Oryza sativa Japonica Group: one gene and its partner. The protein of the gene in region 1 interacts with the protein of each later gene in a pairwise test. Links are inferred from orthologs where the notes say so. Each region holds a gene or a part of one and is shown in the gene's direction. Other genes may lie near its edges. The genes, in order: meiosis-specific protein PAIR3 and meiosis-specific protein PAIR2.

Evidence for each region.
Region 2: the proteins of meiosis-specific protein PAIR3 (region 1) and meiosis-specific protein PAIR2 interact in a two-hybrid assay, tested with the Arabidopsis thaliana proteins (2 studies listed by BioGRID). The link is inferred for Oryza sativa Japonica Group from reciprocal best matches to the Arabidopsis thaliana genes ASY3 and ASY1.

The regions. Positions count from the first base shown.
Region 1 is NC_089044.1:14,496,018-14,505,185, forward strand, and holds the start of meiosis-specific protein PAIR3, read left to right. Parts: upstream 1-4,078; 5' UTR 4,079-4,230; intron 4,231-4,317; 5' UTR 4,318-4,447; intron 4,448-5,521; 5' UTR 5,522-5,573; coding exon 5,574-5,603; intron 5,604-5,721; coding exon 5,722-7,371; intron 7,372-7,479; coding exon 7,480-7,627; intron 7,628-8,657; coding exon 8,658-8,798; intron 8,799-8,870; coding exon 8,871-8,931; intron 8,932-9,023; coding exon 9,024-9,168. UniProt on the Arabidopsis thaliana protein: Required for normal meiosis in male and female gametophytes. Acts with ASY1 at the interface between the developing chromosome axes and the recombination machinery to ensure interhomolog recombination.
Region 2 is NC_089043.1:24,026,964-24,036,407, forward strand, and holds the start of meiosis-specific protein PAIR2, read left to right. Parts: upstream 1-4,615; 5' UTR 4,616-4,717; coding exon 4,718-4,720; intron 4,721-4,795; coding exon 4,796-4,852; intron 4,853-7,615; coding exon 7,616-7,712; intron 7,713-7,804; coding exon 7,805-7,873; intron 7,874-7,956; coding exon 7,957-8,049; intron 8,050-8,164; coding exon 8,165-8,288; intron 8,289-8,874; coding exon 8,875-8,944; intron 8,945-9,016; coding exon 9,017-9,058; intron 9,059-9,215; coding exon 9,216-9,344; intron 9,345-9,438; coding exon 9,439-9,444. Other genes in the region: uncharacterized protein, read left to right, coding at 315-1,142, 1,235-1,390, 1,478-1,852. UniProt on the Arabidopsis thaliana protein: Required for normal meiosis in male and female gametophytes. Plays a crucial role in coordinating the activity of DMC1, a key member of the homologous recombination machinery.

The DNA.
Region 1 (9,168 bases):
GGCCGGGATTGGGTGGATTTTCTTATTGGTTTTCTGAAGCAGTAACTGTCGTGGTAGGTTAGGTGGTCGGTCCATTGGCATCTCAAAGGAACTGACTGACCAGCATGGATGGATGGATGGATGGAAGACAAAGATCTGCTTCGTCGCTGCGTGCAACAGTACGTGCATGCTTGGTACAATGGCAGGCATCTCATGTGCCGTGTTCCGTGGCCACAATGGGAGCTAGAGTCATACACCGTCCATCTCAAAATAAATTTATTTTTACCAATTTCACATATAGCAATACAAAATTAAAATGATTGGAATACTCCTACTTTTTTTAAATCCCAATGTAATTGCTTCTTTGTATATTTCTAATGCTTTTTTTTACTTTTATAAACTTTAATGCAATGATTGCTAAAAAACTTATTTTAAAATACAGAAGTAAAAAATAAAATTATTTTAGGATAGAGCGAGTATGTTAGGGTAAGGCCGAAGGGAATCTCTCGCTTTCTCCCTATTTAAGCAGTAGAAGAAGCTCTTGTACATGTAAGTTGTGCCTACATCTGAACAAGATAATCTACCGTTATGTTACATGTTACAACATGATTTGGGATGGAGCTACACAAACCATAGTTGAAAAAAAAAAGTCAGAGCGTCCGATCCGATCCCTAGTTCACCGGTTTAGCTAGCTGTAAACTGGTGTTATTTTATTTTGAGAGAATAGCTAATATGTTCCCTAAAGTTTCACTCCTGAATCATTTTAGTCCTTAATTTTTCATATTGTCCAAACAAGTCTTTTAAATTTGTCATGTGGGCTAATATAGTCCTTGGTCCCACCAAAATCGCCACATAGACATGCCATGTCACCTTTCTACGCAAAATCTATATGATTTGTCCAATTTACCCTTACGTATAAGAAAATAAAAAACAAAAGGAAAAAGTTAAAAAAAAATATGGTATATGTAAGAGCAAAAATATACCTCAAAAGGGTGAAAAAAAAGAAGTATATTTTTCCTATGGTTATGTCTAATTCACCCTTATATTTATTTTTCTATGATATACATAAGGGTAAATTAGATAATTCATCGTAGATTTTGCATGAATGATGACACGGCATATCCATATGATGATTTTGGTGGACCCAAGGACTATTCTAGGTCTTATGACAAAGGTTAAGGATTTCTTTGGACCATTTAAAAGGTTAGGGACTAAACTGATCCTACAGAGAAACTTTAGGGACTAAAATAGCTATTCTCCCTTTTATTTTCAACAAAAGGACTAGTGGTAATTTATACTAGTATATAGTTCGCATATTTCACAAACCACACTTAACTAGCCAACCGCTTCAATCCTCCAACTCATCACCTTTTCCATATTTTCAGTATTATGTGCTATGGGCCTTAAGCGGCCCATCTTCTAGCTATGCGTGATTAGGAGGCTTGCCTCAGTCTACCTCAGTTAAGGCCCTCTTTGTTTAGACTTATAAGCCAACTTATAAGCCAAAAAGTCTAAGTCTAAACAAACAAGTAACTTTTTCGTTTGGCTTTTTTGAAGCCATAAGCCACTCTTATACTATTAAGCCAAAAGTTAGGTTGGAGAAGGTTTTTTTGGCTTATATGAGATATATGTATGACTCCACCACTAAACTTAGGACATTAAATTCACTGGCTTATAAATCATATAAGCCAATAAGCTGACTTAAAAGTCTAAGCCAATAAGTCTAAGCCTAAACAAAGAGGGCATAAGTCAATTAAGCACATATTTAGTCTAAGTATTACTTCTATAATTTTCCTTATTAAATAAGTAGGTGATTTCAATTTTTGGGGAGAACCAGCAGTGAAGCAGGATAGTCTCGTTGAAGGGTGGTGTACTTAGTATATATTGTGGGGCCCAAATATTAGTAGTAGGGATAGTGTGGCAGTACGGATACCACCACCGCTAACATTCTAAGTAGTATAGATCTTTATTCTTTATAGATGCGACTTTAACAACAATTTTATATTATAAGTAAGTTTATGAGATCATGAATTTATTTGGTATATGTACATGCATCATTTTAATGTTTTAAACCTAAGTATTTTAGAAGTCGTGATGGTAACTTTGATTAGATTTGAGGCCTCCTTTGATTAACGTGATAGGAAAAACACATATAGGAGAAACACATGAATTAAAGTGGTGTGATTCTCTAATTCCACATGAATAAAAAAGTACAGAACGAAAATAGGAACCTTTGACAGTGCCATAGGGAAAAAAAGTTCATAATAAGCTCATATTTCTTACTATTTTTCCTATAAAATATGAAGCATAAGAATACAATCTTAGTCCTTCATTTTTCTATGAATCAAAGGGATATAGAGGAAAATTTTCATAGAAACTTGAGTCTTATGAAAATCCGCCAATGAGAAAATTCCATCTATACCACAAATTTTTTGCTGGTATCAAGTAATACCATAATATTATCCTCTATTCTAAAAATGTACTTGTGGTATTACTTAGTACTAGCAAAAATGTTTGTGGTATAGATGAAACTTTCCCATTGCCAGTCCTATTAATAAAAGAGGCCCTAATAACAAAATCGTCAAATATCAAAGTACAGTACCGATGAAACTGCACGAAATACCCTTTAAGAATTGTATTATTTGTTTGCACTTTTTTGACAAAAGTTCATGTCACAAGACTTGGCAGGTTATACCCAGGTATTTTAACTTGAAATTTGAAGCCACAAAATCTATTTGTTGTGCACATAGTACCATAAAGTACTCCCTTCATTCCATTTTAAGTACAGCTATGAGTTTCTGTGTTTAACTTTCATTGTCCATCTTATTTATTTTTTAAAAAAAATTAAAAGCATAAGTCACTGTAAAAAGTACAATTCATATTTTGTCATCTAACAACAATAAAAATACTAAATATAAAAAATTAAATAACATTCATGTTTTGTCATCTAATAACAGTAAAAATACTAATTATAAAAAAATTAATAAGATAAAATTAAAGTTGGATACGGAAAATTACGTAGTGTTTGGTTTGGGGACGAAGTGGGATGGGTTAGACCTATCCTAGTTTTGTGGGATATGATGGTTCCAATTGTCTGTTTGGTTTATGGTATGGAATGGTTATAGTTTTCTGTTTGGTAGAAGGGATTGAGGTGGGATGGGATGGACGGATTTGTACTCACCGTTAGTGCCGTTTGGGGCCGGAGGAGCTCGGCAGCGGTCGCGAAGGTGGCGGCAATCGTGGAGGCGGCGGCGGTCGTGGACGAGGCGGAGGAGGCGGCGGGTGTGGCGACAGTGCTCGCGATGGTGGCGGCGCTCGCGGAGGTGGTGGTTGTGGTGCTCGCGGAGGTGGCGACGCTCGTGGAGGCGGCGGCGGGTGTGGAGGCGAGGCGGCTCCCGGATCTGAGAGGAGCGCGGCGGTGCTCGCGGAGGTGGCGGCGCTCGCGGAGGTGGCGGTCGCGGTGCTCGCGGAGGTGGCGGCGCTCGTGGAGGCGGCGGCGGTGCTCGCGGAGGTGGCGGCGCTTGTGGACAAGCGGCGACGCTCATGGAGGTGACGGTGGTCGTGGAGGAGGAGGAGGCGGCGGCGCTCGTGGACGCGCAGAGGTGGCAGTGGGCGTGGACGAGGCAGCGGCGCTCAGGGAGGCGGCGACACTTGCGGATGCACGGCGGAGTTCGCGGAGGTGGCGGATGGCACGGTGACGCCGTTCGCTCGTCCTAGGTGGGACGAGTTCGTCCGCCAGTTTTTTGCGGATCAGTTGGTCCTGGATCTAAAAGGAATATTCCTCTCCAGGGACCAACCCATCCCACCCACCCCTAAACCAAACACCCCTAAAAGTGGGTTCGTCCCCATTACATCCCACCTTATTCTTGCAACCAAACACTACCTTATAGGACGGAGGGAGTACGCAATAAATTTCTGCCATTTAGCAGGTTAGGGAATCAGTGTACCGGAGTAAAAATACACCACAGCTGCATATATGTGGGACCAAATGAATCGGGGAGACTGACATGTGGGCCATCCTTATGTGTGCCCCGCACGTCAGTGGCAATACATCAGGTTACCACCGGTGCACGCGAACGGCGTGACGAAAGACGAGTAGACTCCCCCAAAAATTTCAAAAATTCAAAATCCCCCGCTCTCTCCCAAACTTTTCCCCTTCCCCTTTCCCATTCGCCTCTCCACCGCCGCGGAAATCCCCCGTGCGGCCGCGCGGGTTTCGAGGCGGCGCGACGCCGGCGAGCGGCGGCGCAGGTGAGCCCCCCTCCCTCCGCACCTCTCTCACTTGCTCGTCGCTGGTTCTCCCTGATCTCGTCGGTCTCCTTGTTCTCGTTCGAGCAGCTTGGCTGGGGTGGCTCGCTCCCGACGGCGCGGGGGGCTCGTCGGAGAAGAAGCAGAGATTCCTTCTCGCCTTCCGCGGTTCGTGTAGCTTCGCCGGAGGGCGTCCGAGGCGTCGCCGGTGTCACTAGGGGTAAGTTGCTGGGCTACTTACTGGACTCCATGATTCCCCCCCGTGCATGCGCTGCATCGTTTCCACGCTCCCTCGTGGGGGGAGATTTTAGGGTTCGGGAGGGGGAGTTGGGACCTGGGACTCGCCCTGTGCATTTCCGTGGCGATCGCTTCTGATTTTCGCCTCTGTTGCTATGGAATTGCATATTTGCCTCGTTCGTAAACCTATCGTGTAGGTTTCCGTTGGATGATTGGATCCTGAATTCTGTCCGATTGTTTTTGTCTCTCTAAATTATGGTTATCTGCCGCAAGTGTTAGGCTATGTTAGTGTCGCATTCCGCAGTATTTTTCACGGAGTTGGGTTCTTCTAGATAGTGAGTGGAGCCTGGATTGTGTATTATGTTTGTGGAAGAAGATCTCTTAATGCTGAGGGCACATTTAAATTGCTGATACACAATATTGGTTTGATATGTTTGTAATGGACTGTTCCTAGAATTTCACTGGGGGTACTAAATTGACTTGTTGGACATGCAGTCTATTTAATTTGAGCCTCAGTGCAGCAGTACACTGTTGCAGTTATCAATCAAAAGCAAGTTGTTAGCAATCAAATCATCCAGCTTAGAAATTTAGGTGTGGTACTGTGGTTATGTAATGCAGCTCCACCACCACTGTAGTAATTTAAAGTTGACAGTTGTAGTACAACGATGCAGTTATTTGTTACTACTTTTCAATGCTAGTTTCTTTTCCAAGCGTGATTGCAATATTGCCATGTGACAATCTTTTACATGTATTGCCTGCTGAATCAGGAAAAAGAAGTACAGATGTATCACTAATTCACTTATGCTTTGGTAGGCTAGTTGAGGATCAGTGTCCCTTGCCCCCATGTCAATGCTTATTTGCGGTGTTTTCGCCCTTGCTGATACAGCTGTGCTTCTCACATGTGATGGCAGATTTGAAATTTCTTCCTATAACCATGCTTGATAAAGATGTGCTTTGCAAGACCTCTGTATTCATTTGCTAAGCATAATTTTGATTCTGAAAGATTGTCTCAGACCAGTAGAATCTTGTCTTATGCAGTTGTTTTTCTATTCACCAGGTCCAACCTTCTTTAGTTAATTTGGTATACTATTATCCCAAAAGCTGCACCTATGGAAGTTGAGCTGACGAACATTCAGAAAGTGAGTAGCTATTTCCTCTGCTAAGCTGCTGGATGCTTTCCTTTTTCATGTTATCCTTTCACCTTCAGATGTTTTTTCATTATAGTATTAAAAAAGTTAGCATGTTATACTTTTGTAGGCTACATCAAGTGACTATTGGAGTTTGGCCAGCAATCAATATCCATGTGGTAAATTCCCTAAGGTATCAGTTGGCGTCACAATTCCAAGGACGAGTTCTGTATCAAGAGGCAGAGATGCTGCTAGTACCGCTGCATTTGAGAAGAACTTGTCTCAGGGAACTGATGGAAGATCTAGACCTCCCAAAATGGATAATGCTTCACTTCAGGTCTCTCCAGAAGCAGCAAACCACGGCGGATCTGCTAAAGAGGTTCCTAAACCTGTCCCTGCTAAGGTTTCTGTATCACAACCTGATGATAATGCAATTGAGCAAACAGGAACCTTTTCCTTTGGAACAAGAAGAGAACAGGACAGTCATCTTGATCAATTAGATAGGCCACCACTTGTGAGTTCCCAAGGAAAGCGTCAAGTGGAATCAGCTGATAAAAACAAGCCCAACAGTGAAATGCTCAGGATGAAACTGTGGGAGATCCTTGGTGGTACTTCACAAAACAAGGAGGCTGTTGCCTCACCAAATCCTGAAGATATTGAGACGCCATGCCAACCTAAAAGTCAAATTGCCAATGGACCATCTTCAGGAAGACAGAAGGTTTTCACTTCACCTGTTCCATATAATATTAAGACACCAGCTCAGTTTAATAGTCAAACAGCGAACAAACCATCCTCTGATCCAATTGAGTCAGACTCCGACAGTCCTCAAGTAGTTGAAGTAAGACCTATTACTCGTTCGCTGGGGCGCAAGAAAGAACCAACAGGCTCCACACATCAGGATAAGAGCGGGAGTGCAAAGAAACCATTGTCTACTCATCGTTCTACACCCAAGCAGAAAATATTGGACAATGTGTTTGCCTTCAACGATAAATGCACACCTAAAACAGTAGGAAAATCTGCAAATGGTGAATCTGGCAGCTTGAGGAATCTTAGAAGCTTGAGTAGGAGGGCTAAAGTTGAGCCAAAGAAGGCACATTGTTCGGACAGGATTTCTCATAAGACTACACAGGATGATATGGAAAGAAAGGTACCTTCTAAATATATACCATCAGAGAAAAAAGGTGAGAAAACAAACTCCTTTTCTTCTTTATCCCGAACAGGAAAAACTGCTGAGAGTTGTTCTAGAAGCCCTAAAAGGGAGAGAAGGGTGAACACGATGGCTAATGTTGGGGCTCGAAAGATGCAGTTATCTGAAAATTTACTGGTCAAGACTCTAAATGATGGTGAACACAAGCTCTCTTCTCCTCAGCTTACTTCCTTTAAGAGCAAGGGAAAATGTTCTTCTATATCGCCTCAACAGAAGGAGAATGATAATACCCACATCCCTGAAGCTTCAGACAGAACAGCAGCAAGAAATAGTTTTAACTCCACACCTTCTCCTGCTGCTAATCCATCTCCTGTACTGAGGAAGTACTCATGGGAACATGATGAGAATCCTGCGATAAATGGTAAATCTGGACAGAAGGATGCCAGTCCGTTGGCAGACAGATTCAGCGACATGCCAGATGATTTTGCAAGTCCTACTTTTGCAGCAAACATAAAAATATCCCCCCACAGAAGTAAAATGCTAGACGATGACCTATTTAGCTCCAAATATCCAAAAGGTGTGAACAGGTCAAGATCAACTTCCTTTACCTCGGATCCAGAATCGGAGCCATTGGTATGCTTCAATCTCTAAAGCAGATTGCAACTTTAGTAAATGGTTCTGTTTATACTCTACGTAGCAGAGCAATTTTATCCGTTTGACACTAATTGTTCTACTGTCCAGGACAAAATGGAGAAAACCAACGAGTTACCTGGCAGTGAATCTCCTAACTCTCAGGAGGAAAGACAGAACAGAAAACAACCACATCTTTCACCCCTTTCTCCTATTGAGAGTGAAGGGGCTCAAATTTCTATTCCAAGCTTTAGAAAAGGTCAGAACGCCATCAATGCCAATTTTCTAGGCTCTTTATTAAAAAGGGGTAGACATGCTCCTGTCATGTTTAATGCTTCCATTCTAGACTCAAAGGTAGCCATGCTAACTTACAGTGCACTACCCCCTTATTCTGCATGTGGACCATACTTATTGGACAGAAATCTTATGTATATGTAATTATGTATTTCAAGCACCTCTTGAATTTATCATTTAGGTCATAGGATCAACACTGGCCATAATCCTTATAACATTTGCATAATCTGTCAGATCAATCCTGTTAGTATTGGTGTTCATGATATGTACACTTATTTTATTGGTGCAAATTTTGACATCGTTACTTTTGGCCTCATAAACGCTCGAAGTTTGACTATTTGAACATTGAATTCTAACTATACTGGCAAGCATATTTGCAGGGTTGTTAGTGGTGAGATTGCAAAAAAGAAAAAAAATTTCTGTGTCACCCACTTCATTTACTTGACCTTTTTATGACAATTACACATTTTATGTGACATGATAAATGAGTATTTGTGTTTGCTTTTGCTGTCATTTTCGATTAGTGCTGCCTTACTAAGCCGTTAGATGTCTTCCAGGTAACCTGCTATTGTAACTTGTGTTCACTGGCCTGACCGCAGAAAATTTCCTAAATTCCTTTTTGTGGCTGTATAGTTAGGCTCTTCAGATTTTCAGCTATGTCTTGCTGCTAGGTCACAACATTTTTTTGCAACTGAAGGATCTTGAAACTTGAAAGTGCCAATTCATGAGAGCATGCCGTTTGTGTGATAGCTGACAAGTGGCATAGCAGCAACAAGTGGCATATTCTGCCATGTGCAAGCATATCCTTAGTTTACATATATTTCATCAGAACTGTTTACCATGTTAAATTCGCTATTAGTTTAGTTATTCGACTGTATTATTTTCAGCCTTTCAGAACATTAATTACTTGAGCTAAAGTTCTCATTGGAGATGCACACATCTATCTATCTTAAAGTTGCTTATTCATGCCTTGTCGCTTTGTTTTTCACATGCAGGATATAAATCTCATAAATGGCTTTCAGATGTTGACAGCCCTGATAAATCTTCTATTGAGCATCTGGGCCGAAAATCACATCTAAAAGAGGGTAGAAAGGGCAAAAGGCAATTAACTTCGCCAACCCATTTTGCCACCTCTGGTAACACTGATTACTTTACTGTTGTGCTTGTGCATTCATGGTTTTCGGTCTGACCAATATTTTTTTTCTCAGGGACGCAAGAAACAATGTCAGACAAAGAACCAGAAAAAGTCCCAGAAAACTACCTAACCAGGTTTGACTTAGGTCATTGTGGCTTAAATAGTAGGTACAAACATGATTGCTAGTTTGCTACTTGGATTAATTTCATTTCTTGACTTCCACCAGGGCTTTTGATCAGTTAGTAGTGGTGCTAGGAAGGTTCCAAACCAAAATCAAGTCTGAAACAAGGAATAAAAGTTCTAAGATACTTGCAGCTACTGGAGAGATAATACGCCAGCACCTTGAAGGGGTTGAGGGGCAGATGCAGGCT
Region 2 (9,444 bases), on another chromosome or scaffold:
CATTTCATACATCTTAGTTTACCCACATATGCTCAGATATAATATATTATTGGCTAGTCCTTGCCTAACTAAGCATAAGTTTCATATTAGTTTATCATTACTAGTCACTGACGACGGTCTACATACGGTATCCTTTTCAGGACAGACTCTACTAAAACTTTGAAAGAGAAAAGGAGCAAAATAAAAATGCAGTTCAATTTGCCTACCACAAATTCCAATGCGCTATACGGATATACCCTATATGCTAGTACTGTTTTCCCTTCCAACTGAGGCAATAGTTTACATTCACAATATTTTCCTGATTATACATGCAGGACATCTGGAGTCATATACACTCCCTAATGCCATTACGGGATGCTGCTCGTGCTGCGTGCGTGTCTCGTGCTTTTCGTAGTTTCTGGCGATATCATCCTAATCTTATATTTCGTATAGAAACACCGGACTTGAATTTCATCAAGAAAGTTGATTGCATTCTGAAAAACCACTCAGGCATTGGCATCAAATCATTAAGGTTTGAATCTGGTATATTTTACAATGCCAGCACCAGTTATTATCTCGACAGTTGGCTTCAGATTGCTGTTACACCATTGATTGAAGAACTCACTCTTGGGATATTATCGTACAACACAAATTACTTTGATTCAAAATATGATGATGAGTACAACTTCCCGTGCTCACTTTTATCTGATGGGAGAGGAAGCTCAATGCGGCATCTTTATCTTAGCAGGTGTTCTTTCCATCCCACAATCAACCTTGAATTAAGAAACTTGACGAGGCTGCATCTGGCCTTTGTACATATTACAGGCAATGAGTTAGGGTGCGTTCTCTCTAATTCTTATGCTTTGGAGCGGTTGGAACTTAACTATTGCTATGGAATAATTTGTGTGAAGATACCTTGCCTGTTGCAACGCCTTAGCCACCTGGAAGTGTTTGAATGTAGAATGCTGCAAGTCATAGAGAATAGTGCTCCAAATCTTGGTAGTTTTCACTTTGGAATTAATCATGTGCAACTCTTGCTTGGCGAATCGTTGCAAATGAAGAGCCTATCCATGTGCTATCCTGGTGCTGTCTATTATGCTTGTGCAGAGCTTCCATCCAATGTGCCAAATCTTGAAACTCTAACCATTGGCTCTCCTCATGAGGTACACCCAAAAACTTTAAATGATTATGGACTTGCTATATCCTTACAACAGTACTTTAGAAGAATATCATCAGTCTGATTATCTTTCCGCAGATGGTCGACACACCAATGTTGCCTAGCAAATTCCTCCACCTCAAGTGCTTGACTATTTCTCTTGTTGGAATGGTCACTTTTTCCCCAGCCTATGATTATTTTTCTCTGGTTTCTTTTCTTGATGCTTCTCCTTCCTTGGAGACTTTCTTTCTGGATGTAAGTTAATTTTCATTCTTTAAACTTATGTATTGGCCATTTACAGTGGTAACCATCAATTGAAGCACATTGGCTTTTCATCTTCAGGTATCACAAGAACGCATGGGGCATGTCTCAATTTTTGGAGATTCCTTGCAATTGAGGCAGATGCCTGAACACCATCGTCATGGCAACCTCCAGAGCGTGAAGATCACTGGTTTCTGCTCTGCAAAGAGCTTGATCGAGCTAACATGTTATATTCTTGACAATACAACCTCACTCAAGTGCCTAACACTAGATACAACCCGTGGTGTTTCTAGCTGTTCTACAGGCGAACACAAGAAATGTTTTCCTATAGGCAAGATGCTCACTGAAGCCAACAGAGCGGTATTGGCAATTGAAACATTCATCGAGCGAAAAGTTCCCTCGACAGTTAAATTAGCTGTTACGAAGCCTTGCAGCCGTTGTCATGTTAAATCTTAGTTGTGTTTTTCTCAGCATTTATCCAGCGTAGATGGTTATGTAATTTCTCTCTTCATTTACTACATTATTATAATACTGTCCAATAAGTTTTGTAACTTTACATGCTTGCGTTTCTCTTCATTAACCCAGGACACAACTGAATCATTTTCGTCTTTCATCTCTAAATTTTGCTAGTGACATTAACTGGAACATCTACCTTTTGTTTGACACCAAGTGATAAACAGGTTAATAAGAGGTTTCTGCATTTGAATTTCAATTACAGATGCTCTACCAGCTATACTATCAACATATTTTTGGTTGCATTGGGCTGACAAGATATCTACAGCTTGACCTCAATTCCTAAAACAAATTTCAACACTCAACCATGGTTAGTTGCACATTCAAGAAGTCAGGTAACAAGCCAACGAAAAGAAAAATCTGGCAGCCACTGGATTTAATTTGCTGATACATGAAGGTCATCAAGAGCGTAGAATCATTTCATTTCTATCCCAGTTGGTAGATTTTGCTGATACATGAAGGTCATCATTCATTTCTATCCCAATTGGTAAATGCAACAAATCGTAACAATTGGTAAATCAACCATAACAACTCTCAAATCCCTAAAGTGACAGGGGACTAAGCGATACAATCTCTTACTACTACACATCCAACTCTCAAATCCCTAAAGCGATATACGAGGAGCCCTCGGATTGCAGGCCATCGTGGAGTATCTCAATCTCTGGTCGTTTTTGCGGGAGATAGAGCTCTCGGATCACCAGGACCAATTTATTTGGAAATGGGAAAGTTCAGGCATGTACTCCTCCCGCTCCGCCTACCAAGCATTGTTCCTCGGTCGAATCCCGTTCCAATCCACGCCGATCTAGAAATCGCTGGCGCCGCCGCGCTGCCGTTACTTCAGCTGGCTGGTCGCACTCAACCGCTGCTGGACGGCGGACAGGTTAAGCATCAGGGGCTTGCCCCACCTTAGCATGTGTGTCCTATGCGATCAGCACGAGGAAAGCATCAACCACATTTTGGTCGCATGCCCAGAATCAAGACAGCTCTGGTGGCTACTGCTCTCGGCAATCGGTCGCTCGGAATGCTTGCCTGTCAATGAAACCTCATTCCACTCCTGGTTGTGTGACAAGAGGGAAACCTTACCGAGCTCTCAACGGCGAGGTTTTGATACCATTGCTACTCTCGCAGCATGGACTATCTAGAAGGAGCGAAATAACAGGGTGTTCAACCAGAAGCACAGAAGCTGGACAGAAGTGGCAAGGGCAATGGCGGAAGAGGCAGCGCTGTGGCGGCTCGCCAATACTGCCATACCGGCCACGCCTTTAGAGCGCTCAGGTCGCAACATTGTATCGCGAGATTAGGGTTTAATGCTCTTGGGTGACTTCCTGTAATCCCGTGTCCTGCTGTGTTTTCTCTTTCACCTGTACAGACTTTTACTCCTCTTAATACAAAGATGCGCTCCTTGCGTATTCCCGTTTTTTAAAGTGACAGGGGGACTAAGCGATACAATCTCTTACTACTACACATCCAAATTTCTGTTCGTAGATCAACTCTCAAATCCCTAAATCAAAACAGGGGGACTAAGCAATACAATCTCTTACTACTACACATCCAAAATTCTGTTCGTAAATCAAACAGGGAGGTAAATCAAACAGGCGATCCCAACATGTTGGTAATGCGATGGAGAGCGCGATCGAGTTGACCTGGAGTCGCCTCAGGGAGACGGTCCGCTCGCACGCCGTTGGCGATGTCGTTGTGCAGAAGCTCGTCGAGCGCCTGCACACTCGTCGAGATCGGATGACCAATCCTGAGTGCGAGAGCCCGCGCCTGCATGGAGTGGAGGAGGAGGCGGTCCAGCAGGAGCTCCGTGAGACGGGAGTGCGTCTGAAGAAGCAGGGCACCGGAGCCGGCGGTGGGCATGGGGCTGGCAGCAAGGACATCGTCCGCCATGTCCTGGGTGAGCGCGTGGATGGCGAGAGAACCCCTCACGCGGAAGCCGACGAGGTCGTTGAGGAGCCCGCGCCGCAGGTCGACGTCGACGAGCTGGAGCTTGAGCTGCGGGATGTGGACCTTGAGCATGAGGTCGAGGACGCGGGCGAGCTCGGCGACGTCGGCGAGGCGCTCGAGGTCGCCGTCCTCGACCTGCCACTGGTAGTCGACGGAGAGGGCGGAGAGGGCAAGGTACATCTCGGGGGCGTCCCGCAGCGCCGCGACGGAGCGTACCTGGACGCGGCACTCCCCGACCACCTCCCGGACGAGGGCGCGCAGCTCCGGGAGGCTGGCAACGGTCGCCGTCGGAAGAGCCATGGCGTAGCGGAGGGGGCGCGCCGCGCGGCCGCGCCGCGCCGGATGAGGGGTGGGACGCGAACGCGACTACGCGAGCACGGCGACGGCGGCGTGACGCGAGCAAGGAGGACGGTGGCGGTGGAGCGGGGTGGGAGACGAGGGCGAATCACGGCGAGGGGGAGTACTTTTATAGCTGGAGGCAGGCTGCCAGGCTGGCGCAGCGTAGGCGGGTCCTCCAAATCTCGGAAGCAGGAAACCGGAAACGCATCGTGCCCGTCCTGTCGACGTGGCAGACACGTAATTAAATTTACGGCTACTACTAGTACTTGTTTTACAAGTTAATTAATTTCCTCAAAAGAAAAGGCGCTCGGGTACGGTAATTTCCTCGAAAGAAAAGCACCCGGGTAAAAATTCATAACACTTTAAATCTTCAATATATACAGTAGTACTTAAAAAAGAAGAAGAGAAAACTAGCTCTCCAAAGCCCCGCAAATTCTCTCGCTCTCTCTCTCTCTCTCTCTCCCACTCCTCTCCCCTCTCCCTTCTCTCATCTCGCGCGCGGCGCGCCGCCGTAGAGACGAAATGGTGGGTTCTCGCTTCGATTTCGCGTTGCGCTTGCTGGTGTGTGCGTGCTGATCGGAGTGGGTGATTGCGATGCAGGTGATGGCTCAGAAGACGAAGGAGGCGGAGATCACGGAGCAGGATTCGCTGCTTCTGGTGAGTTTTTTTTTCTCTCCTCGCCCATCTCCTGTTCGATTCCCGTGCGACTTTCGATTTCGGTGGTTCGGTGCCGGACATCGGATCGGTTCACCCGATCGAGGGTTTTCTGCCGAGGTTTTTGGGAGGTTTTTCGCTGTGGATTTGATCGCTCGTGTGGTGTACTGGGGTTTGCAGTAGCTGGCGTTCGATTTGGGTTTGATTCGAGTGTTGGTGGTCACGCGTGTCGGATTTCCCCCCCCCCCCCACTTTGCGAGTGCTTTTGGGTGGAATTAACTGTTGCTTTGCTGATTTTAACCGATTTCTCGTGCGGATTTTGGATGTGTTTGGAGATCGTCGTGGGGTTTTGGGTTTCTCGCTTTCTCTGGTAGTCTCCGTCCGCTGACTACCAAATGGTGCTAGTTGGGCGGCCAGTGCGAAGCATCAGTAGCATCTCACTTTGCTAGTGTTTTTGGGTGGATTTCATTGGTGCTTTGCAGATTTTAACCGATTTCTCGTGCGGATTTAGGCGTGTTTGGAGCATGAGTCCTGGGATTTTTGTTTCACTTCCTCTGGTGCTCTCCGCCCGTTCAAAAGCTTCTGGGTATCTCAGATTGGAGTTGGTTTCTGGTTTCTCCGTGTAGCACTATCTCTCGAATGCGTAACTGATGGATCGTTTCGGTATCGCACTGAATGATGATTCGGTGGTTTTTCTCCCTGCTGCTTGATCGATGTGAGTTTTGTTTCTCTGGTTTGAGGCACCGAATCTGTTCTCGTGAAAATTTTTTGACATAATGTTCTCGTGAAAAATCTCTGGTTGGTTTGCTAAATTTCGCAGAAATTTTGAGCAGAATTTCTACTGGTTTGTGCGATTCTCTCAGCATTAGAATTTTGTTGAACGGATCACATCACTTTGTTTTGCTACTCGCGTGGTGATTCGGTTGGGATTTCAAGGAGACATTCACTGGTTTGATAATCGCGTTTCGATTTGGTTTCGTTGTGATACCCACAGGCATTTGCCTGATTGTTTGTGCGTAGACCATCGTGCTGGAAACATAGGCGCATAGTCTCTGCAGTCTGCGTAGTTGATCAAATTGGTAGGGTTGAAAGTTTTTTTCCCTGGCTTAGATATCCTTGCGAAGAATTTCGAATTCAAGTCGTGTTGTTTCGAACTGTTTCGCCAGAAGCATCTAAGGAATTGTTCAGTTCGTTGAACTTCTCATGTGCTTTGCGTTTGGAATCTCTTCTGAAGTGTTTTGGGAGCAGCAGTTACAGTGAGTAACTTCATTTTGCTTCCGAAATGCTTGCTTGAACATGGAATCGAGACACGACTCGTATTGGCCTGGGCCTGGTTGTTCAGGATTTCCATTTCTGACAGTCGTATGAGTCGATTTTTTCAAATGTTTCCAGTAGGCTTGTTAGTTGTTTGGGTTTTGAACAAACGTTGCCTACCTTGGTTGGAATTCTAGGAGACATTCGCTGGTTTGATAATCCCGTTTCGTTTTTGTTTCGTTGTGAAACCCACGAGCATTGGCCTGATGATTTGTGCGTAGATGATTATATGCTGGAATCATGGGTGCATACCCCCCACGGTTCACTGAATCGATCAAATTGGCAGGGCCTAAAAAGGTTTTTTCCTTGCTTCCATAGCCTTGTGAAGAGTTTCTACTTCCAATCGTTTTGAATCATATTGTTAGAAGCATCTAAAATTTATTCAGTTCGTTGAATTCTTGCTGTGCTTGCTTTTGGTATCTCTTTAGACTTCAGAGTTTTTTTGGCAGCAGCAGATTCCATGAGTAATTTTAGTTTCTCTTTTCAAACTTGTTGCTTGGACGTGGAATTGAGACACCACAGTACCACACGTATTGGTTTGGTTATTCCCAGATTTCCTGTTCTGATAGTTCTATGACCTAATTCTTCTTCTGTTTTTTAAAATATTTCCGATACACTACTTTGGGTTTGAACAGACATTTGCTTAATCCTGCATTAGTTTGTGATAAGAAAAGCTGCACTTCTGTTTATAATCGGTTATTTTGTTGCGCTATCATTTGAATTTGGAATTTATGTTATGCCTTTAGGAATTATATGCCAGCTTATTAAACCTCTGCTGGCATGATTTTTAGACTAGCCCCCACTCTCACTCCTATTTTAACATCTTTGTTAGATACTCGGTTTAATAAGTGGACATTGGCTTTGCCACATGAGTTTTAGGATTACTGGTTGATCACCAAACTTTGGTACCTCTTGTACTTTCAAAAAACCAGTTGGTTTATATCCAATCAAATAATGTTTTTCTTTGTCTTTTCTAGTACTTGTTTGCTCACATGGTCAGCTGCACTTTGCCTAGAAGTGCTTAGGATCCCATGACTGCAAGTGCATAGTAGGTGAAATATATCGTATGGTCCATGTTCATTTATGCATTTGTTAAGAAATTTATTGCAGGTGTGTGTTTGAATGGGACTGGTACCCTATTTGATTCAACATGTGCTAAAGTATTGAAAAGCATGACACATTTGTTGTTTGGTGAACTTTTGTGCCTCACCTTGTTTGGCAAGCCCAAAACCCTGGGCCATGCTCCAGGATGGGCTAGGAAACTGAACTACAATTTCAGTCCATCCCTGGGGGTGGACCAGGATCCAATAAGGCCTAAACTTGTTAATCAGTAATCCAATTTGTGATGATTTTATTGCCCTTCTATTTCTATTACATTGAATACTGAACTCTCTTTGAATTATGTATGGTAGAACGCTATTGTGATAACGTGGTGATATTTTGACCAAACAGACAAGGAATTTGCTCCGCATTGCTATATACAACATCAGCTACATCAGAGGTCTATTCCCTGAGAAGTACTTCAATGATAAGTCGGTTCCGGCACTAGGTCACATTACCTATAGTCCCTAACCCTTTTATACACCAAATTCCTCAGATGATATGATATTATTAGCTGGAACACCCTTTTATTTATTGCAGAGATGAAGATTAAGAAGCTAATGCCCATGGATACTGAGTCGAGGAGGTTGATTGATTGGATGGAAAAAGGTGAAAATATGTCCTGTTTTACGTGTTAAATCTTTTTAATTTTCCAATTTGTTCATTTAATCCATTTTTGTGATAAATTTTAGGTGTCTATGATGCACTACAGAAGAAATATCTCAAGACCCTTCTCTTCTGCATCTGTGAGAAGGAGGAAGGCCCAATGATTGAGGAGTATGCATGTGAGTATTACCATGTGAAATATGGCTAACTTCTAGCATACAAAGTTGGTTTTACATCAGTGATTGTGGGTCATATGTCAAACATTTTCTTATTCTGTGTCAAACTCCCCTGCAGTCTCATTTAGCTACCCCAACACGAGCGGTGATGAAGTTGCAATGAACTTGAGCCGCACAGGGAGCAAGAAAAACAGTGCTACATTTAAATCAAATGCAGCAGAAGTCACTCCTGATCAGATGAGGTTCTCTCATACATATCCCTTTTAAAGGCTATGATTCATTCTAGACTTCTAGTTAGTTATCCATGCTGCTTAGCTAAATGCTACGATTTAATGGTTAATTTTTCATATTGCTTAGCATTATACATTTTGGAGAGTGTTTGTTTAATGAAGTTGCAGTCCCAACATAACAATAGTTTAAAATTTTATGATTTCAAAGAAGTAGGAGCAAATTGATGACTAAAAGGAGTTCAGATTTTCTTTTTCTATGTAAGGAATGTGGTGAAAAAGTGAGGTACATAGATTCCAGTAACTTTGTAAATTTAGGTACATAGGACTGTGAGGTGGCAATAAATGATGTAAATCCTTTTTAAAAACATAGTTGGGCTTATAATTTTGAGTCCAACTTTTCTGCGAGTTGTTCTTAAATATTCTTCCACAACTTGCAGAATTCTAGTTCTGAAGGTATGGTTTCAATTTAGTCCTTTAGATAAGCTCATTAATGGTTGTTTATTGGTTTTTATATGTGTATGGCAATTGCAAAGTAATTATTGTAAGCTTTAACTAGTCACTGCTGATATCCTGACATGATCATATGGTTCCCAATCAGGAGCTCTGCTTGTAAGATGATAAGAACACTGGTTTCACTTATGAGGACCTTGGACCAAATGCCAGAGGAGGTAATTTTTGCACTTCACAGATTTGTTACAATGGATTGAACTTACCTAATGCTATCCTGTATTTGTCCTCAGAGGACCATTCTAATGAAGCTGCTATACTACGATGATGTCACAGTGAGTGCAGCAATTTGTTCTTGCTATTTACTGAAACTTGAAGCCGCCATAATAGATAATTATTTTTGCTCTGAACAAATGAAGGATTCAACCTTTTCTGTTCTATAGAACTTTGTTCGTGGAATCGAAAACAGTTAATTTATTATGCTATTTGCAGCCTGAAGATTACGAGCCACCCTTTTTTAAGTGTTGCGCTGACAACGAGGCCATAAATATATGGAACAAGAACCCCTTGAAGATGGAAGTTGGAAATGTCAATAGCAAGCATCTCGTGTTAGCTTTGAAGGTAGTGGATTATGGAGATAGCAGTCGTTTGGACCAGGAAACCTCTGTTTTCTCAATTAAACTCATTGCTACATATGTTTTTATTCTTTATGCAGGTCAAG